Linked DNA regions of Caenorhabditis elegans. The protein of the gene in region 3 interacts with the protein of the main gene of each other region in a biochemical or structural test. Each region holds a gene or a part of one and is shown on either strand. Other genes may lie near its edges. The genes, in order: syp-4, sun-1 and plk-2.

What was found.
Region 1: of the proteins of plk-2 (region 3) and syp-4, one has a biochemical effect on the other in vitro, tested with the Caenorhabditis elegans proteins (one study listed by BioGRID).
Region 2: of the proteins of plk-2 (region 3) and sun-1, one has a biochemical effect on the other in vitro, tested with the Caenorhabditis elegans proteins (one study listed by BioGRID).

The regions. Positions count from the first base shown.
Region 1 is NC_003279.8:6,844,842-6,850,887, reverse strand, and holds syp-4 (Synaptonemal complex protein 4), read right to left. Parts: upstream 3,378-6,046; 5' UTR 3,295-3,377; coding exon 3,229-3,294; intron 3,184-3,228; coding exon 3,087-3,183; intron 3,041-3,086; coding exon 2,872-3,040; intron 2,802-2,871; coding exon 2,518-2,801; intron 2,463-2,517; coding exon 2,257-2,462; intron 2,196-2,256; coding exon 1,616-2,195; intron 1,570-1,615; coding exon 1,426-1,569; intron 1,380-1,425; coding exon 1,108-1,379; 3' UTR 965-1,107; downstream 1-964. Other genes in the region: rpb-5 (DNA-directed RNA polymerases I, II, and III subunit RPABC1), read right to left, coding at 1-359, 405-464; H27M09.5 (uncharacterized protein), read left to right, coding at 3,936-3,978, 4,022-5,004; dpy-14 (Nematode cuticle collagen N-terminal domain-containing protein), read right to left, coding at 5,796-6,035.
Region 2 is NC_003283.11:13,190,530-13,196,196, forward strand, and holds sun-1 (Sun domain-containing protein 1), read right to left. Parts: upstream 3,010-5,667; 5' UTR 2,999-3,009; coding exon 2,617-2,998; intron 2,571-2,616; coding exon 2,467-2,570; intron 2,424-2,466; coding exon 2,220-2,423; intron 2,176-2,219; coding exon 1,756-2,175; intron 1,709-1,755; coding exon 1,397-1,708; 3' UTR 1,173-1,396; downstream 1-1,172. Other genes in the region: F57B1.1 (G-protein coupled receptors family 1 profile domain-containing protein), read right to left, coding at 3,466-3,615, 3,672-3,755, 3,802-3,954, 3,999-4,179, 4,225-4,354, 4,398-4,521, 4,577-4,720, 4,994-5,119. UniProt on the Caenorhabditis elegans protein: Involved in centrosome attachment to the nucleus. Required for zyg-12 localization to the nuclear envelope. Together with pot-1, it is required to anchor telomeres to the nuclear envelope in embryos.
Region 3 is NC_003279.8:2,753,542-2,760,075, reverse strand, and holds plk-2 (Serine/threonine-protein kinase plk-2), read left to right. Parts: upstream 1-1,871; coding exon 1,872-2,183; intron 2,184-2,239; coding exon 2,240-2,531; intron 2,532-2,579; coding exon 2,580-2,692; intron 2,693-2,982; coding exon 2,983-3,417; intron 3,418-3,465; coding exon 3,466-3,909; intron 3,910-3,955; coding exon 3,956-4,258; 3' UTR 4,259-4,451; downstream 4,452-6,534. Other genes in the region: Y71F9B.9 (3-hydroxyacyl-CoA dehydrogenase), read left to right, coding at 106-347, 394-763, 832-1,002. UniProt on the Caenorhabditis elegans protein: Serine/threonine-protein kinase which plays a role, during oogenesis, in chromosome pairing and synapsis, by facilitating the recruitment and attachment of meiotic chromosomes to the nuclear envelope during prophase.

The DNA.
Region 1 (6,046 bases), 4.1 Mb from region 3:
ATGTTTACCATGAGCTCAGCCTCTAAAAAGTGCTCCAACATGTACTTTGGGGCCATGTCGCCAATGGATTGTTTGGCGCTTGGAGTCATTCCGGTTTGTACGACAATGATAGCACGGGAGATATTCTGTTCTTGCATTTGCTGGCAGATAGCTTTAATAGTTTTGATTCCAATTTTGGCGTCCTCTGGGAAGAAAACAAACATTTGATCGGCTGGATCGTCGTTGTGAGCCACGAGAATTGTCAGATCTGAGCGAGCCGGCTTTTTTTCAGAGGGACGATCTCCGTACTGCACTTTGAATGTTTCCAATGGTTGATCTAATTCATCTTGAGCTACGAGATAACCACGATCGTGAACCATCTAAATATGAACATATTATCATGGCAAATACCAAATTTTGTTTACCTGAAGAACTGTTTTACGGATTCTCCACAATCTATAGGTCTCAAGCTCGTCGTCAGCCATTATTACTGTTAGTCTCTGCAATAAACTACTTTTAAAAAGTTTTCCGCCGACATTAAAGGTTGAAAAATAAAGAACAATTCGTCTTAGTCTCATCACAATTTTAAGTGTAACTTTGAACATATAACAACCTCTTTTAATTAATAATAAACATTGAGGTTAACAGGAAAAACATAAACTATGGTATACCAACAATTTAAATTGAATAATCAGAAGGGAGATTGCTGCAATGTCTCATATTCAAATTGGTGGGAAAGAATTGAAGGAAAAAAACATGAAAATCACTAAATTTGACAGGACAATTTTCGTTTTTCGAATAAAATTCCAATGGCTAAACAAAGCTCGTTAGCGTTATACCGGAGCATCGTTCATTGCGTCGAATGCTGCTGATTTTACGAGCAAAAATTTTGCGAACATAAGCGAACTTGAGTTTGTTTCAGAATAAATATTATTTAAATAGCTATACATTTAAAGCATTAAAGTGAAAAAGAATAAAACGCAATGAGATGATCAATACTTTATATTATGTATATTTTTGCTGTTCAAAAAGAAAAAAAAGAGGCAATTTCTTGGTCCAATAAAATCTAAAATTTCTGACATTAAACGATACAAATGATACAAGAGCTGAATAATACATGATAATTTTCTAAAAGTTAAAGAACGAGGTGCTGTTTCCGCCCGCTCCAGAAGTTGCTCCGCCTTCACCGTCACCGTCAAAGTTAAAGTTGAACGATCCATCTCCACCTCCACCAGCTGCGTTACCATTTGATGCAAATCCGAACGGATCGGATTGAGTGTTTCCCGAACCCTTTCCTTCATCCTCTCCGTCATAGTTAAGGAAATCCAGATCTCCAGTAGAACCACCATTGTTCGAACCATCATCTCCTGCTCCAATTCCGTCAAAATTAAAGTCGAAGTCTATAAAAATGGAGTTTTTTTTAATTTCACGTGTTTCATAACTTACTGCCTTCACCGCCACCTTCTCCCGCTGATGTACCCTTGCTATTCCCAAAAAAGTTAAAAGAGAAGTTATTGCTTTTGTTGGAACCGTTTTCGCTCATCACTTCTTCTTCGTCTTCTACATCTAGTTGTGCTCCCACTTGTTGATCTGCGAAATGAATAACTCAATGTTTATTGCCAAGTAAAACACTTACCATCAACAAACTGAACATCATTGTCTGCCTGCTTCTCAACGATCTCTGGTTCTTGTTCCTGGGAGAGTGCAGCCTGCTCCGTGGCTAGAATGTCCTTGAATACAGATGGTTGCTCAATTTCTTCTTGCTCACCGACTTCCATGGGACTTTCCTCGGGTACTTCCTGATCTACTTCCATTACATCCATCGATTGATCGGCATGATTTTCATGATTGCTAAGTTCTTCTTCTTCTTCTTCGGGCTCATCTAGGATTGATTCCGGTTGGGGGCTTGGAACTGCTGAAGTGTCTAACTCTTCTGCATCCCGTTGAACGACGCTGTCTTGACGAGTAGGCTGAATGGTAATTTGTGGTACCACCTCCCTTATTTCAGTGACATTTGGTGGTTCAATATGAACGCTTTCTTCAGCTGAATGTTCGATTACAGGTTCTTCGCCAACTTCCATCGGATGCTGTGTCGGAATTGGCTCTTTGGAGAAGGAAGATTTCGCGGTTTCGCTTATCTGTGGAGTGATCGAAACTTCCGAACTTTTCGAAGTTAACTGTTGTACGGCCTTTTCTGGCTTATTTGTTTTGTCCATCTGTAAATATTATTTCAGTTTGAAAAGGCAATTAGGCTTTATAAAATTTAGTTTTACATACCGACGCGAGAATAAAAGAACGATCAAACTGCATTGTTTCATCCAGACTGAGACTTCCACAAATTCGTCGATTCTCTTCCTCGTCCTTCAATGTTTCCAAACTTCTTTTCGATTTGTCTAACTTCGGCATCAAGGATTGATGGAGTTTATAGTGTTTCGCACACTCAATTACCGTCTTTTCGAACGATTTCTTTGATTCGGCTTTCACTGAAAATTTGATATATTACAAAAAATTAAGTGTATTCGATGCTTCATAACTTACATGTAGCTTTCTTGGTACGGATATCATCGGCAAGACACTTCTTCTGATCTCTGAGCCCCTCCACTACTTCTTCTAGAATTCTTTTCTCCTCTTCCATTGCACGAAGCTTATGTACGTCGGATGAATTTTCTAGATTTTTCAGAATTGAGGCACTTTTCACGATGAGCTCCTCAGTGGCCCTGGTTGTGTCCACAAGCCGCTGTTCGTTGATTTCCTGGACTCGTCGAGCCTCGGTGTTCGTCTCTTGCACGGATTTTCGTAGGTCGTCACATTCGTAATATTTCCTTTAAAAAATTGAATGGTTTACTCGAGTCAAAATAGACATTGTGTTACTTTTAATGTGAACAAACTTACTGCTGAACTGTCAGCTTCTTTTCTTGAACCTGCCGAGATAGCTCAGCAATGTGTAGACGATCTTCCATTACTGTCAGCGATGTTTGATAAGCTGATTTCAGCTTCTCCTGGAGTTTCCCACTTTTTGCCAACTCGGCGCGTCTCTCATCTAATGCATAGATTCCTTTGGCTAAATAATAAAATAGTGGAAAACGATGAACCATCGGGAATCTTACCTTCGGATACCATTTTCGTCAGCAACTTTGCCAACATTTTTCTTCCTTCCGTGTTGATCATGTTTCGCTCCACAAGTTGATTTGATTGGCGAAGAAACTGAAAGAAGAGGATTACAACTGATTGTCTGTAGATTAAAAATACCTCATGGCATCGCAGAACTTTTGGATTTTTCTCATTTGGACGTACTTGTAGCGTCGGAAACGACATTATTTCGCCTTGAAATAAAAAATTTTGATGAAAAATGAGGTTACCGTACCGAACAAAGAAACAGAAAAGTTCAGTTTTCTCCTAAAAGCAACAAACTTTTGAATGGAGATTTTTTTCGTGCCTGCACATCAAAGGTTACTGTACCTGCAATTGCTCGTAAACTTAAATGTAAAATACGCAAATTGCCATCACGTCAAAATCCGCCTCATATACACTAAACACAGTGAGTAGCGGAGACCGCAAAATGTCGGGACACCCTATCGCACTACTCCCTCCACCCGCAGGCTCATAAACTTACCTGGCTGGGGGTTATTTCGCGATCACAAAGGCGGAATCCCCATGGTTAGGCCTACCCATTGCACTTTTGGTGCGGGCTGACCTGTGTGGCAGTCTCGAGTTGAGATTCGCCAACAGCTTAATTTTTGCGTATCGGGGCTGCGTGCGCGCGGCCCTGAAAAGTGGGTCTATATGTAACACCTAGCCGATGTTCTTTTACGATATTTGGGAGATTTGAAAGTTCACTGAAGGATGGAAAAGACGCTAATATAAATTTATCAAAATTAAACGTCTCGAACTGGATGTGTCGTTTGCATAGCCTTTTCATTTGATCAAAACATCTTTATTTCTATTTTGTTCACAAAATGAGTTCATCGCCAGAACAAATGGCCGAGAATGTGAATTACCGTAGGTTTACTCATTGATTCAGCTTTTGAAGCAACTTTTACAGTATGTCTTATGGTGACTGCCACTTTAACTAGTGCAACGATGGTGCTTGGATGTACTACCGGGCATCGTGAGATGTTCCGACGAAAAGGTTCAAAGTCAAAGAAATCAATGAAATCGAAGAAATCTAAAAAATCTAAGAGAGAAAAGAAGGGTGATAATGAAGATGAAAAGGAAAATTATAAGGAAGATGGAAATGATCACAATAATGGATCTGACAGGAAAGAAGGTTCTAAAAAGAAAAAATCAAGACAGAAGAGTATGAAAAGCTCACGGAGCAAACGGAAGAAGAGACACAGTTCTGGAAGTAAACGTGGCAGTTCTAGGGACAAAAGAGATAGCTCTCGGAGCAAGAAAAATAATGTATCGGCTCATAAAATGGAGAAATCTCCAAGTAGACGTGATTTTGGAAGAGGAGGTGATAGAGATAGAGATAGAGATGGAGAATCCAGAAGAAGTAGTTATAGGGATGAAAAGAGAAGACGTGAAAATTCACATAAGTCAGCCAGATCAATGCCTGTAGAAAAAAGCAACAGCTACCGAAATTACAAGAAATACGATGACAAGGTGGAGGATCCACCACATGAGAAACGAAATTCTGATGACGTTCGTTCAGTTTATGTGGATACTGGAAAATCAACATATTCCACTGCTGTAAAGCCATCAAATGATAATCCAAAATCATATTATTCTCTTCCACCAACATCTCCTTCAAAGGAAAAACCCACAAAAAAGATTTCACGAAATTATTTGGCTGATCCATTGTCTCCGGGGGATAAGAAATCAGCAAAAATCTCAACGAAAAAGTTGATTTCTACAATAAAACCACCAAAAACGCTTTCTAAAAAATCAGCAAAATCTACGAGAAATCCATTGAAATCGCCTTCCAAAAGGTCTAATAGTGTGAGACCAGAAAAGAAAAATAAAATCATTTCGAAGAAGGCGTCCAAGAAAAATGTTGAATCGAGAAAATCAAAGAGAAAGTGAACATGTGGTTAGTTTTTCTTTTATTGTATTTTGGAAAAAGAGTTATATTTAATATCGTAAGTAGTCTCGTGAAATCACTTTAAGGACACAGGATATATGATTTTTTAAAGTGGGTCCCACCACGATCTCAGTCTCAGCCAAATTTCACGGATTCACGAAATCACGATTGCTAGAAATGGTTATATCTCGTAATTTTGTGAAAAAGAAGTACCTTCGTCTCTAGGTGTTTGGGGGAATTTTTGATTCATAAAATTTCAGTATTTGTACAGTTTAGTTGACGATGGTGTAGAGCTACTGTCAAATAATCGAATATCAGAAAAATACATTACAAAAAATTTCCAGATTTTTGTAAATTTCTATTTAGTCTAAGTTTTGTTGGTGAACTGCCAAATTAAAAAAGGTGATATTTTCCAGAAATTGAAATCAATTTTGCATGTCTTACTAGTTAATCTCTAAAATGTTTGAATGCAATTATTTCGAACATGGTTAGAATATGAAATTCGTAGAAAAAATTGATCGACTTCCAAAATTATGAGATCATTTTTGTCAACAAATAAAAAAGTTCAAAAGTGTTACTTTTCTAAGATTTTCCCCTCTTAGCACATCTTCTATAATATTTTCAGATTTCTGGATCAATCGTCTCCTGCTGTACAAGTGAACTGATATTCTTCCGATTATTTTAAAAGTTGAAATGAATATTCCAACTATTACATGTTTTGAACTTTGATATGCAACACAGAATTTTTTGAATAAATAATAATTTATTGAAATAACACAGAATCCACGAGAAATTAATAGCCTGGTGGAGTTCTTGGAGTTGGGCAATGGAAGCAATCTCCATTTGGTCCCTTTGATCCAATTGGTCCTTGTCCTCCAGTTTCTCCCTTTCTTCCAGCTCTTCCTTTTCTTCCTTGATCTCCAGTTGGTCCTTGAACTCCTGGATGAACTGATCCTGGAACTCCCTTTGGTCCACGTTCTCCCTTGCGTCCTTGTGGTCCTGGGGCTCCTCCGGCTCCTGGTGGTCCATTGACCTGAAATATTT
Region 2 (5,667 bases), on a different chromosome or scaffold from region 3:
AAACACGGTTTCTTTCGTTTTTTGGTAACTTCGGAATAAATTTTTTGGTTCCTGAGAATCATAAAAGTAATTTGGAAAATTTTTGGAAGTTTTCTTTTTTTGATAAATTTTCACTTTTTTCCCACCTGATATATGCACATTTTTTTCTTCAAAAATAATTTTTCAAAATTTTTTCAAAAAGTGTTTGGTTTGAAAGAGCAGCATTAGTTTGGATATTTCTACGATTTTGGAGGATCAAATGTCATTTTTAGGAGAAAACCACTGTTGTTTTCTCTAGAGTTTTTCACGAAAAGGACTTACTTTCAAAGACTTCCAGCTCCGTTGACGGGTAAAATAAAAAAAAGTTGTCAACTGCAAAGTTGTTTTAAAAGTACCAATAAACAAATTGTCAGTTGAATCTACTCTGCTAAATTTTATGGGTAAAGAGATATAGCTAATCGAAGTGAAGCTTTAACTTACGTTAGTAAGTTAAAGCTAAAGTTAGCAGAGTAAATTCAATTGACAATTTGTTTATTGGTACTTTTAAAACAACTTTGCAGTTGACAACTTTTTTTTATTTTACCCGTCAACGGAGCTGGAAGTCTTTGAAAGTAAGTCCTTTTCGTGAAAAACTCTAGAGAAAACAACAGTGGTTTTCTCCTAAAAATGACATTTGATCCTCCAAAATCGTAGAAATATCCAAACTAATGCTGCTCTTTCAAACCAAACACTTTTTGAAAAAATTTTGAAAAATTATTTTTGAAGAAAAAAAATGTGCATATATCAGGTGGGAAAAAAGTGAAAATTTATCAAAAAAAGAAAACTTCCAAAAAGTTTCCAAATTACTTTTATGATTCCCAGGAACCAAAAAATTTATTCCGAAGTTACCAAAAAACGAAAGAAACCGTGTTTTTGTGCATATTTCATGCTAGAGGAAAAATTCAAAAAAACGAAAACGGCACTTTGAGCAAAAAGAGGACTACTTTTTAAGGCCGAAAATTTCAGCTTTGGGGCAGAGTTAAGCAGATTCCAAAAAATGATTTTTGTAGCCAAAGACCTCATCTGTCATTTAAAGTTTGTTTTGTCCTCCTAGCGATTGCAGGGGTAACACCATTCCCTAGTTAGCAGATGCGAAGTTTTCTCTTGTAATCACCACTTCCCTGCTGCTCTCGTGCTTAAAATTCAGAACACAATTTAAAACTTTGAAACTTTAGATTAGAACTTTCAAGAAATAAACAGAACATGACACATTAATAAAAAATGAATAAAGCAATGAAATACAAACGGTAACGTGGATAGTAAAGCGGGACAAAACATTTGCAAACGATTTCAAAGAAGCAATATTGAGATTCATAGTCAGTGGGGAACGTGAAAATGATATAAAAACAAGTTGGGCAGGAACAATAATACGGCGTTTCTATGCGGTTTCTGATACAGAGTTAACAATTGCAGATTCCAACTTTGATTCAGTTCCATTATCCGTCATTGGTTGCGTTTCCTTTGGTGGATCGACTGGTTCCCCGTAAACACGAATCAAATAAGCACATGTCTTTGGCATATCTCCATGATTTTCGCGGAAACGGAATTGCACGTGATTGATCGGTGAGTGATTTTGAATTGTTGGCACCGAACAGAATTGTTCTTGCTCGTCATAACTTCCATCACGTTCCTTATATTCACAGTTGGCGACAAGAGGCTGCCATTTGGTGCAACATGAGTCCGTGCATGCCTGAAAATATATAATTAGTTACTGAACACAATTTTTATATAGCTTACCACGACATCGTAGAGCTTCGGGGCATGATTTGGAACAATCCCGCTCCATCTGACATGTTGATACGAGACACTTTTCGGTATGACAAATCTAGCGAGCTTCACGGTCAAGGTCGCACGTTTATCGTATGTGCACCACGCTTCTCCTGGGGATAGAACGTCGCGATCAAGCAAAGCATATCCCTCCTGGAACGTTCCGAAGTATGACATGAAATCGTAGAAAAATCCATCTTTTGCAGAAACTGGACGTGATGAACAAGAATGATCGATTGATGCACCAATAAGACTGTTGGCAACATTCACTCCAAGAAGTGCTCGGCGTGTTATGTGCATTGGTTGAAGCTGGCTAGAGGGAGGAAGCGATGCAGTTGGTGCGGTCTCTGGAGCCTTTTCTGGTGTACTGTGGATGATCTTTGTGCTTTTCTGAAAAATTAGCATTGGGAAAATATATTAAATTTGAAAATTACCGCATCATCGATTTCCTTTTTCATTTGTTGCAAAGCATCGCTAATTTCTGCTTGCCATAATTTGATCTGTTTGAGCTCTTCGATTGCCGACTCTTTCCATCCTTTGCTGTGTTCCAAAACGTTTTCCAGTAGTTTTTCCAAATGGTCAGTTTTGAAATCGAGTTGTTTATCGTGCGCCGAAAACTCTGCTCGGAGATTGGAAATCTAAATAATATAAAAATTTATTCTGACTGTTCATTCATTGTACCGTCTGATGAAATTTCTGTTTTTCGGACGCCCAATTCGCGTCTTTATCCGCGTAGGATCCTTCTGAATTATGATGCGTTCCATCGAATAAACAATCACGAGCATCTGAAATTATTCATTTAGATACCCACAACACGTTTTCCCGACTCACACTTGTATAACATAGCAAAAAGAACAACAGCCATAAGAGTACGTTTAAACTGGGCCCACGTTGGAACAAAACGACGCCGAACCATGCGAATGCGATATTCCAGCCAGTCATACCACATTTCCTTCTTCATCGAAGTGATTTCTTTGTAGCTAAAATGCTCCTTGTAAATAAATTTCGAAGAGTTCAGATCAATTTCAGAATCGTCAGCCGACTCATGAAATCTCTGAATGGTGCCTGTAATCGTTCCAGGTTGGGAATCTCGCCGAGTAACTGGAGTAGATGTGTCTAGCGGCTGATGAACTCCTGTTCGAGATACAGAACGGGTAACTGGAGGACTGTGGCGATTCGAAAACTGCGGTGAGATGGTGTGTCGCAACGCCATACCGAGTAGATCTGGAAGTTTAGAAAGAAATTGAATGAAAAAAGCCTGTGCGGAATTGTAATTTGGAAATTAAGAAACAATGCAATATTTTCAAGAGCGAGAAAGTTGTTTCAATTAAAATAATTATGAATTAATTGAAGTTTAACTGCACTTTACAAAGCATAAACTTTTTAAATGCTTTATATTTGTCTTAAAACAAAAAATATCCGAACTGAATTCGAAAAATGAAAAAAAAAACCAGAAAATCGAAACCTCGAATTCAAGCAGCCCCGCACTGATTGCGGCAATTCTCAAGATCGCGTCGAGACCCTCACCGCTGACGTATTGCACCTTTGAAAGTTACTGTAGCAGTAAATATGATTTGGCAGGCACAGAAATTTTTTGCGAAGAGTTTGTTCTCATTAAAACACGAGTATTTATTCTAATATTGGCAAAAACATTTTAGAAACTGATTTTAGTAATAAAAATTAAATCGCTCTCGAAGTTTGCCTTCTCTGCTGTGAGTTTGAATTGGCTTGTGAAGTAGTGAGAGAAACTCTCACAGAAACGAGTTTCCGAATTTCTTTTGAAGTGAAAAAGAAGAAGCACGGCGTTGCAGCTCCAGCGCATATTTCAGTCTGCAATACGGATAATTTTTCAAGATTGCTATGGAAAAATTAAAAAAAAAACGAACCGTATTAATAATCCGTTTTATCAAAAATGCAGTTGCTATTTCAAACTTGATAGTTTGGCATAATAGGAAAACCGACGATGAAATCTGGAAATTTTTTTTTTCATTTTTTCGTTCTTAAATCAAACAGGACCTGAAATAGGCAAAATATAAAAACCGCCTGTTTCAAAATAGTGAGCTCGTATTTGTTGAGTGCTGCTTTTTTCATTAAAATTATTTTAATGATAATTGCAATATATATTCCCAGAATAAATATTGGAAGAATAAATTGTATTAAAATTTCAATCTGAAAGTGTTTATTGGACTGGATATTTTCATTATTGTGCTTACAGTTTGTACAATTGTCGGTGGAGCAATATTTTTAATTCCACTACTAGTTTCACAACTCAAAACATAATGTTTCATTAAAATTCGTTCATCATATTCATATTGGCAGTTATTCATAATCATAGACACTACAACAAAAGCAGACAATACCCATACCATTCCCATCCAAAAGTATGTTATCGGTCTGGGATTAGTAGATTAAAATTCCAAAAATTTCAGAATTCCCTACTTTTCAAAAGCAATATCCGTGTGTTTTTTGAAAAAGAACACAAACATCCGATGTATTGCAATTATCAAGTTTGAGAAAAGTATTGCATTATGACAGAAATCGATTACATTGGACATGTAGTAGAATGAGGCTGAACAAAAAAAATGATTCAAAATTGATTCAAAAAAAGTTACCGGATTGAACGAATTCCTTGGTTATCAAAGCAAATAATGTCGCTGGTACATTAATTAAAAAGTTTAAAGAAGACATTATGAAAACAGAAATGGTCAGTTGAGTTAAAAACCAGAAAAATATCATCTGAATTTTTTCAATAAATTCCTTGGAAAAAGTTATGTAAAACGTGTTTCATTACTTTTTTGAAATGGCTCCAAAGGATCACAGAAAGAGCCAAGAAAACTCCAGTCAAAATAGTTGATGCAAATGTGGACATAACAAACAAGGTGATAATAAAATAATAGAGCCCATCCTTATCTTCTGGTGGAATGTTACCAGCTACCTTACAAGTTAAACATTTAATCTGCGACAACTATTTCATTTCAGCTAGTGTTTTTTCAAGCTCAACTGGTTCAAAACTGAATACCAGCGAAATTTTTCGAATTATTTTTTGAAAAGCTGAAGTTGTGGTAATTTACCAAAATTTTAACAAAGTTCAATCTAAAACATATTGGAGTTTAGAAATGATATTTGCAAAATTTTAAAAGATGAAAAAAGTTTTGAATTCAGGTTTCACCAATATTATAATTTGAAAATAGATTTTAGACCAACTGACCTCTCCAAGAACCGTGTCTTTTAAATCAGATAAATTCTTTCTTCTAATAAAGTCATTAGAAAATGGATCATCTCCTTGTCCATATACTACATTTAAAAATATCAAAAAGTAGAGTAGAAGAAACATAGATTTCATAAACTCAACAAATTGAGTACGCTGATTATTTTGGAAAACTGAAAAGCAGGTGGAGTCAAGAAATCAATTAATTTCAAAAACTCAACACATGACTAGATGAAATTTTCAGCTTTGATGTGAGATCATGACGAGATTAGGAATTGGATGAATATCAAGTAGCACTTTGAATAAAATTGTTTTGAATGTTATATTTTGTGTAGATAAGTTGAAACTAGACATTCCACCCAATTGAGCTCTGGAGCGCCACACTTCACAAGCGTTAACGTTCCGAATTAAACGTTTCACATATTGGATTTTTCTACGTGCCCAAAAAATTAACAATCATTAATTGAAAATATTAAATAATTGTTCCATTTTTTCCTATAAAGGAGGATTATTTTTCTGCTTTGAACCAAAATTATTAAGAACGAAATTTTTATACTTTTTCAGTGGTCAGAATAGTTTATGATTAAAAATTTTATTCCAGAAAAGAATTGCATGATATATTTTCTGATTTATATTATTTATTTAGAAAGCTAAAAAGTACATTTCTACACGTT
Region 3 (6,534 bases):
TTCGCTGCGGGATATTTTTATATTTTGCGCGTCAAATATGTTGCGCAATACGCATTCTCGGAATTTCGCGTTTCCGACTAACAAGAAAAAGAAAAAAAAATTTAGGAGCATGGCCTTCAAAGAGGCAATCTATCAGCTGATGAGGCTCTCCTTCGAGTTTCTACCACTACATCGTTGAATGAGGTTATGAAGAATGCAATTTATATGCAGGAATCTGCACTTGAAGATTTAAATTTTCGAATTCAATTCTACAAAGTTATTGATGAGATCGCGGATCCTACAACGATCCTTGCAAGTAGTACGTCAACAATTCCAGCGTCCAAGTTCACTGATGGTCTGATAAATAAGTAAATAGACTTCTTTGTTATCTTATTTCTATTAACATTAATTCAGGGAACGTTGTCTTATCGTCCACCCCGTCAATCCTCCGCTCTTCCTTCCTCTTACCGAGCTTGTTCCTGCTCCGTGGACCTCACAGGATACTGTAGATAGAGCTGCAGAGATCATGCGATCTGTGAAGCAGGAGCCGGTGAAGCTGAAGAAAGAAGTTTTGGGATTCGTTGTGAATCGTCTACAATTCGCTTTGCTAGCAGAAACCTGGCGTTTGGTAGCCGATGGCGTCATTGGCGTGAATGATGTGGATGCGGTGATGTCAGCTGGTCTAGGGCCGAGATATGCGTTCAATGGGACTTGTGAAACGGTTCATTTGAACGCGTTTGGTGTCAGAGATTATTTTAAAAGATATGCGGCTGGAATTACGGCGGTAAGGAGCTTGAAGCTTGTGCTTTTTATTTTTATTTTATTTATTTTTATTTCCGCTAGCATTTCCAGGTCCTGAAGGATATGGGGCCGATTCCAGATTTCACAGACGAGAAAGTCATTAATAAGCTTGAAGAAGAGCTGGAGCCGAAAATGAGCACTTTGAATATTCGAAAACATCAAGCGGAGAGAGAAGAGAAGCTCGTGGAAATTGCCAAGCTGAAGAAGGACCTGAATCTTTAATTTTTCCTCTTATTGAATTTATTTTGTCAATAAATGCACAAAAATACTCCCTTTTTTTGAGATATTTATGACATATTTCATTGCGCAAAAATGTCGTAACAAGATACAAATCTATGTAACAGCAAAAATACGATAAAAATCACGCGAAGGACACACAGTTGACCACTAAACCGGTAATTACATGCACGGGAATTGATAATTATAGATTTTGTGTTTCAAAATGTTTTGCAAAATTCAATGGAAACATTTTGCAATCATTAAATTAATTAATTATGTAATTCGATTTTCAGAAAAATCAATAATTTTCGAGGCTCGTAAATCGTTCGGACTACCGTACCCAGGCGCGATCGTTGCGAGACCCGCGCGCGGGCAGCTTTGTTTTTTGAAAAATCACACGTGTTTTTCGTTGATTTTCTCCTAATTTTCGTTTTAAAATGGGAAATTCATCGATTTTTCGAGATATTATCAACGAATTCTGGTATAAATCCTTCTTTACCCCGTCAATTTTATAATAAAAAGTTGTTTTTCAACCCTGAAAACGAAAAAAGCACTAAAATGAACATTCTCGCGTATATTAAAATTAGAAAACGGGATAGAAAAGGGTATTTGAACCCTATTTCCGTAATTTTTGTGTCCTTTTCCCGTCAATATATCATGATAATCACTGAAATGGCCCATAAACACAGCTGACAATTTATCATTGTTCTCGTTGTTCTTAGCCTGGCGCTGTCGGCGCATTCCGGGTGAAGGTCGGTGCTAGATTAATTGCCTTTTTCCGTCGTTGTTCATTTCTTTTCGCCGTGTGACATTTTTTTTTTCTCGTGTTCCTCTTACTTTTTCAAATTTCACAGTACATTTCGACTTTTCAGATGCAGCGTGTACAGCCGTCTGCAGCAAGGGTAAAGTCCCAGAAGAAGGAGAAGGCGCCGCCAGATGTTCCAGACGTGATTCTCGATGGAGAACGCAAGACTCGTTATGAAAAAGGCAAATTTTTGGGAAAAGGAGGATTCGCACATTGCTACGAGCTGCGGAACAAGTCTACAGGCGAGCTGTTTGCTGGAAAAGTCGTCCCGAAAGCGCTGCTTATCAAGCAGTATCAGAGAGACAAAATGGCTCAAGAAGTGCAGATTCATAGGAACCTCCAACATCGCAATGTTGTGAAATTATATCACTTCTTCGAGGTTTGTACATTATTAATTAGGTATTAATTAATTAATTATTTTTAAAAAAATTCCAGGATAAATCAAACGTCTACATCACGCTGGAATTGTGTCCAAGAAGATCGTTGATGGAGCTGCATAAGCGACGAAAAGCGGTCACAGAGCCTGAAGCCCGCTACTTTACATATCAAATCGTGGAAGGTGTGCTCTACTTGCACAATTTAAAGATTGTACATCGTGATTTGAAGCTCGGAAATCTCTTCCTCAATGATGAATTGCAAGTGAAAATCGGCGATTTCGGGTTGGCAACAACTTGTGATAATGATGAGAGAAAGAAGACACTCTGTGGAACTCCAAATTACATTGCACGTATGTTTCACGCAGAATCGTTGCAAAAATCGAATATTTATTTTTCAGCTGAAGTTTTGAACAAAATCGGGCACTCCTTTGAAGTCGATTTATGGGCGATTGGTTGCATTCTCTACATTCTTCTTTTCGGCCATCCGCCATTCGAGTCGAAGAGTTTGGAGGTAAAGAAGCAGCAATGAGGCGGCACGGTTTCTCCGATTTTATTGTTTCATGTCCTTTTTTGAAACGTTATCCTATTTTATGCTAAATTGGTTGTAAAAACATGAAATATCCTCACAATCTGATGAGAATTTGATTGGATAACATTTTCATCTGAAAATGATGATAAAAAGAAACTTTATTGAAAAAAAAAACAACTAAAAAATGAGGAAAAAAACGTTGCCGCAGAGTTGCGAAATTACGCCACGCCTATATTTCTTTGCGGCAAAATTCATCATATTTCATATTTCAGGAGACCTATTCGCGCATCAAAAACAACAACTACGTCATCCCAACATCGGCGAGTGCTGCAGCATCTCAACTCATTCGTGTGCTTCTTGACCCAGTGCCGAGTCGCCGTCCAAATGCCAGAGCTGTATGCCGAGATCACTTCTTCAAATCCGGCTTCATGCCTGCTCGTCTTCCAGTTTCGTGCCTCACGATGGTCCCACACTTAAACGATGATGAATACGCAGAGGAAAATGTGTCTCCAAGTGGCACGATCGATCAGCGTGGTCCGCACCAAGCTGGTAGATCCGGACTTTCTGCGATTCCGGCTCATCTCGTGTCGAGAAATTCTGAACGGCAGCAAACTCACCGAATGGAGGCGTACCGACAGCCGACTGACTGCTATTTGTCGAATTTACTCGCTCAAGTCAACGATTTATTGGCTACGCCAACCGCAGATGTAAGGAAATGACATTTTTAATTTAAATAGCAAAAATTTTACTTTCAGATTGATGATGCAGAAGCCGCTCTAGACTCGTATCAATCGCCTGAAGCTCTTCCCGTGTTCTGGATTTCCAAATGGGTTGACTACTCTGATAAGTATGGAATCGGTTATCAGCTTTGCGATAATTCGGTTGGAGTACTTTTCAACGATAATTCAAGAATCATGCTGGACACTGCTGGCACCCAGCTGACATATATTGAGAAAACCGAGAAGGAGCACTATTTCGACATGGAAAGCGCAATACCATCGGGCCTACAGAAGAAGATGACACTTCTCAAGTATTTCCGATCGTACATGAATGATCATTTGTTGCAAGCAGGACAGCAAGTTACTCGGAAAGTAGGAGACGATTTGGCTCGCCTTCCGACGCTTCGTGTCTGGTTCCGAACAAAGTCGGCAATTGTGCTTCATCTCTCCAACGGCACTGTTCAGATAAACTTTTTCAATGTAAGAGTTCTCGTTAATTTTAATATAACAATTATTATTTTTTCAGGATCACATTAAAATGGTGTTGTGTCCACTCATGCAAGCTGTCACCTTCATCGATGAGAACAAGCGCATGTTCACGTACAAATTTTCACACTTGGCTGAAAATGGATGTCCGGAGAAGTTCCTCCATCGAATTCAATACGCCAAGTGTATGATCCAACGACTCGTCGAGGAACACACGAAAGAGGAGACGAAACACAATGCACCGGCGGCCAATGCAGTACGCCTTCCATCGACTTCCAGCAACGTCCGTTTGGAATCTGCAGCAGATATCCAGCCGGCTTATCCATCATCCTCGCGTCGCTAAGAAAATCGATCTGCAACAAATTGAGCTCATTTCCCCTTACCGGTTTTGATATTTCTCTGATCAATACACTTTTATGTCCGTGTTTGTAATCAATTTTATCCAAGCAAATTGCCTTCCTTTTGTATTGCCTTTCTTTTTTATTTTTAACGTTTATTTTTCCCCTTCCCCCTCTCGTATTAAATATTCATTTCGTCTCTCTATGTATGTCACTTCCTAATTTAGAAGAGAACGAACAAACATTCGGGTGTCATCATGCTCATCAGCCGGGGGGTGGTGGGTAATCGCATTTGTCTCCATGTTCCACTTCATCAATTCATTTTGGAGCCCGAATTTATTCACATGTACCCCCCCCCCCCCCCCATTTATTAAGTTCAATTCCAAACTTTTTTTCCAGAAAAATCTACGAGCAAGACGAGGAGAAAACATTATTTTCAAATCGTATCAAGCACTTCTCGTTCTTTACTTCCGTCGTGTATGTGCCTACTTCGTCAAATCCGATTCACCTCGTTTTCGGATTGCCCTTTTCTTTCCCGCTTCACTCTCTCTCTTCAAAAAAGATACGAATCCGTGCTCCTCCGTAGTTTTGTTTACCGCAGTGTCTCCTTCAGAGAGGTCTCGTAACTGTGTAAACTTGTTTTATGATGATTTCCCATATATATATATATATATTCCGCCGCTCACTAGAGATTACGATGCCGTCGTGGGAATTGAAATTTTATCAGTTTTCGAAGGCTCGATTTACTAACGTTAGCTCCTTTAAAGGATTACGGTAGTTTTTAGGATCATTTTTAAAAATACAGTATTCTTTAAAGGCGCATGGTTCTTTTTCTACGGGATTTTTTTCAATTTTTGGAGAAAAACGAGATTTTTAAGAAAAAGGTCGAAAATCGAATTCTTATTTTTCAAATAATGTTTTTTTTCGATTTTGGCGCCAAAAACACTGCCTGGTCTCGACACGACAAATTTTTGTAAAATTTAAAAAGGTGTGCGCCTTTAAAGACTACTGTAGATTCAAACTTCTGTTGTTGCAGAATTTTTATTGGTTTTTCAAAATAATTAAAACAATTTTTCATTAAAATAAACAAAAAAAATGAAAAATCGATGAAAATTCCACTGGCTCACCTTTTTGCTTATAATAAAAAAAAATTTCGTGTCGAACTTTTACTACGGTAGTTTAAAAATTTTCTTCGATCGTGCCAGGACCATTGTTTACTGTGAAAATCGCATTTTTCGACAACTAGGCAATAAAAAAGAAATTTTCAAAATCCCAAAAACTCTAAATTTTTAGTTTTGAAGCGGCGAGCAAAATTTTAGTGTTGAGATTATTAGTGCTTAACAAATTTTAATGCGAATTTATTAAACTAAACCTCGAGAATATCTCCTTCCGCTTCACTTCTTTACTTCCCAATATCTTTCCGGCGAGCTCTTTTCGCTCAGGCGGGCTCACGGAGCATTCGAAATTCCAAAACGGTTATTCCAATTAGAGGAACCTCTTACCCCCGTTTCTTTCCCCGTCTATTCTCAAGTTACTCAGTGGGTTCTCAAGTGTTATGCGACCGCCGAACAGCAGCCGGTTCCACTTTTCTTCCGGAAACGAACCCTCTCACCCACCTGAGCCACACAAAAGGAATTAAAATGATGTATTGGCTCTTTTCTGGGTCCCCCCGTTCCGAGATTGGTGTCAAATTATCTTGTCACTGTGTGTCCGTTGTGTTGACCTCCATCAATTTCCATTTGAAATATGTGGTATTCTTATTATTTTTCGACCACTTTACGTTAGGTTGGCTCTGTAGAAGGTCATAAAGGATAGGAAAATGCCTGCCTGAGTGCCTGGGCCTACATTCGGTGATCTTTCAATTTAAAATGTTTGTTTTCCTCGAAAAATGCCCAAAAATGTCGAAAAAAGCGCTGAGAATGAGCATTTTAAATGAGATATTTTGAAATCACGATGCAATCGAGCTCCAATGGCCTCGTTGACTGCTTGGCGGGAAAGCTTTAAATTTAAACTTTTTCGATTTTTTTCATGTGTTTTTTTGTTATTTTTCGTGATTTTTATTTATTTATTTCAGTTCCGGAATAAAAATCACGACAAAAAAGTAGAAAAAATAATTTAAAACATTCGAAATTACGATTTTGCCGCCAATTCCTAACGAGACCCAACTTTTGGAGGCGGAGCGTTTTTATGTGACCGTGGAGCGCGTTTGCGTCTCCGTAATACAAAATTTCCAGCGGGGCCGCCGAAATACAAACACTCGGCCACTCCCCTCATCGTTTCT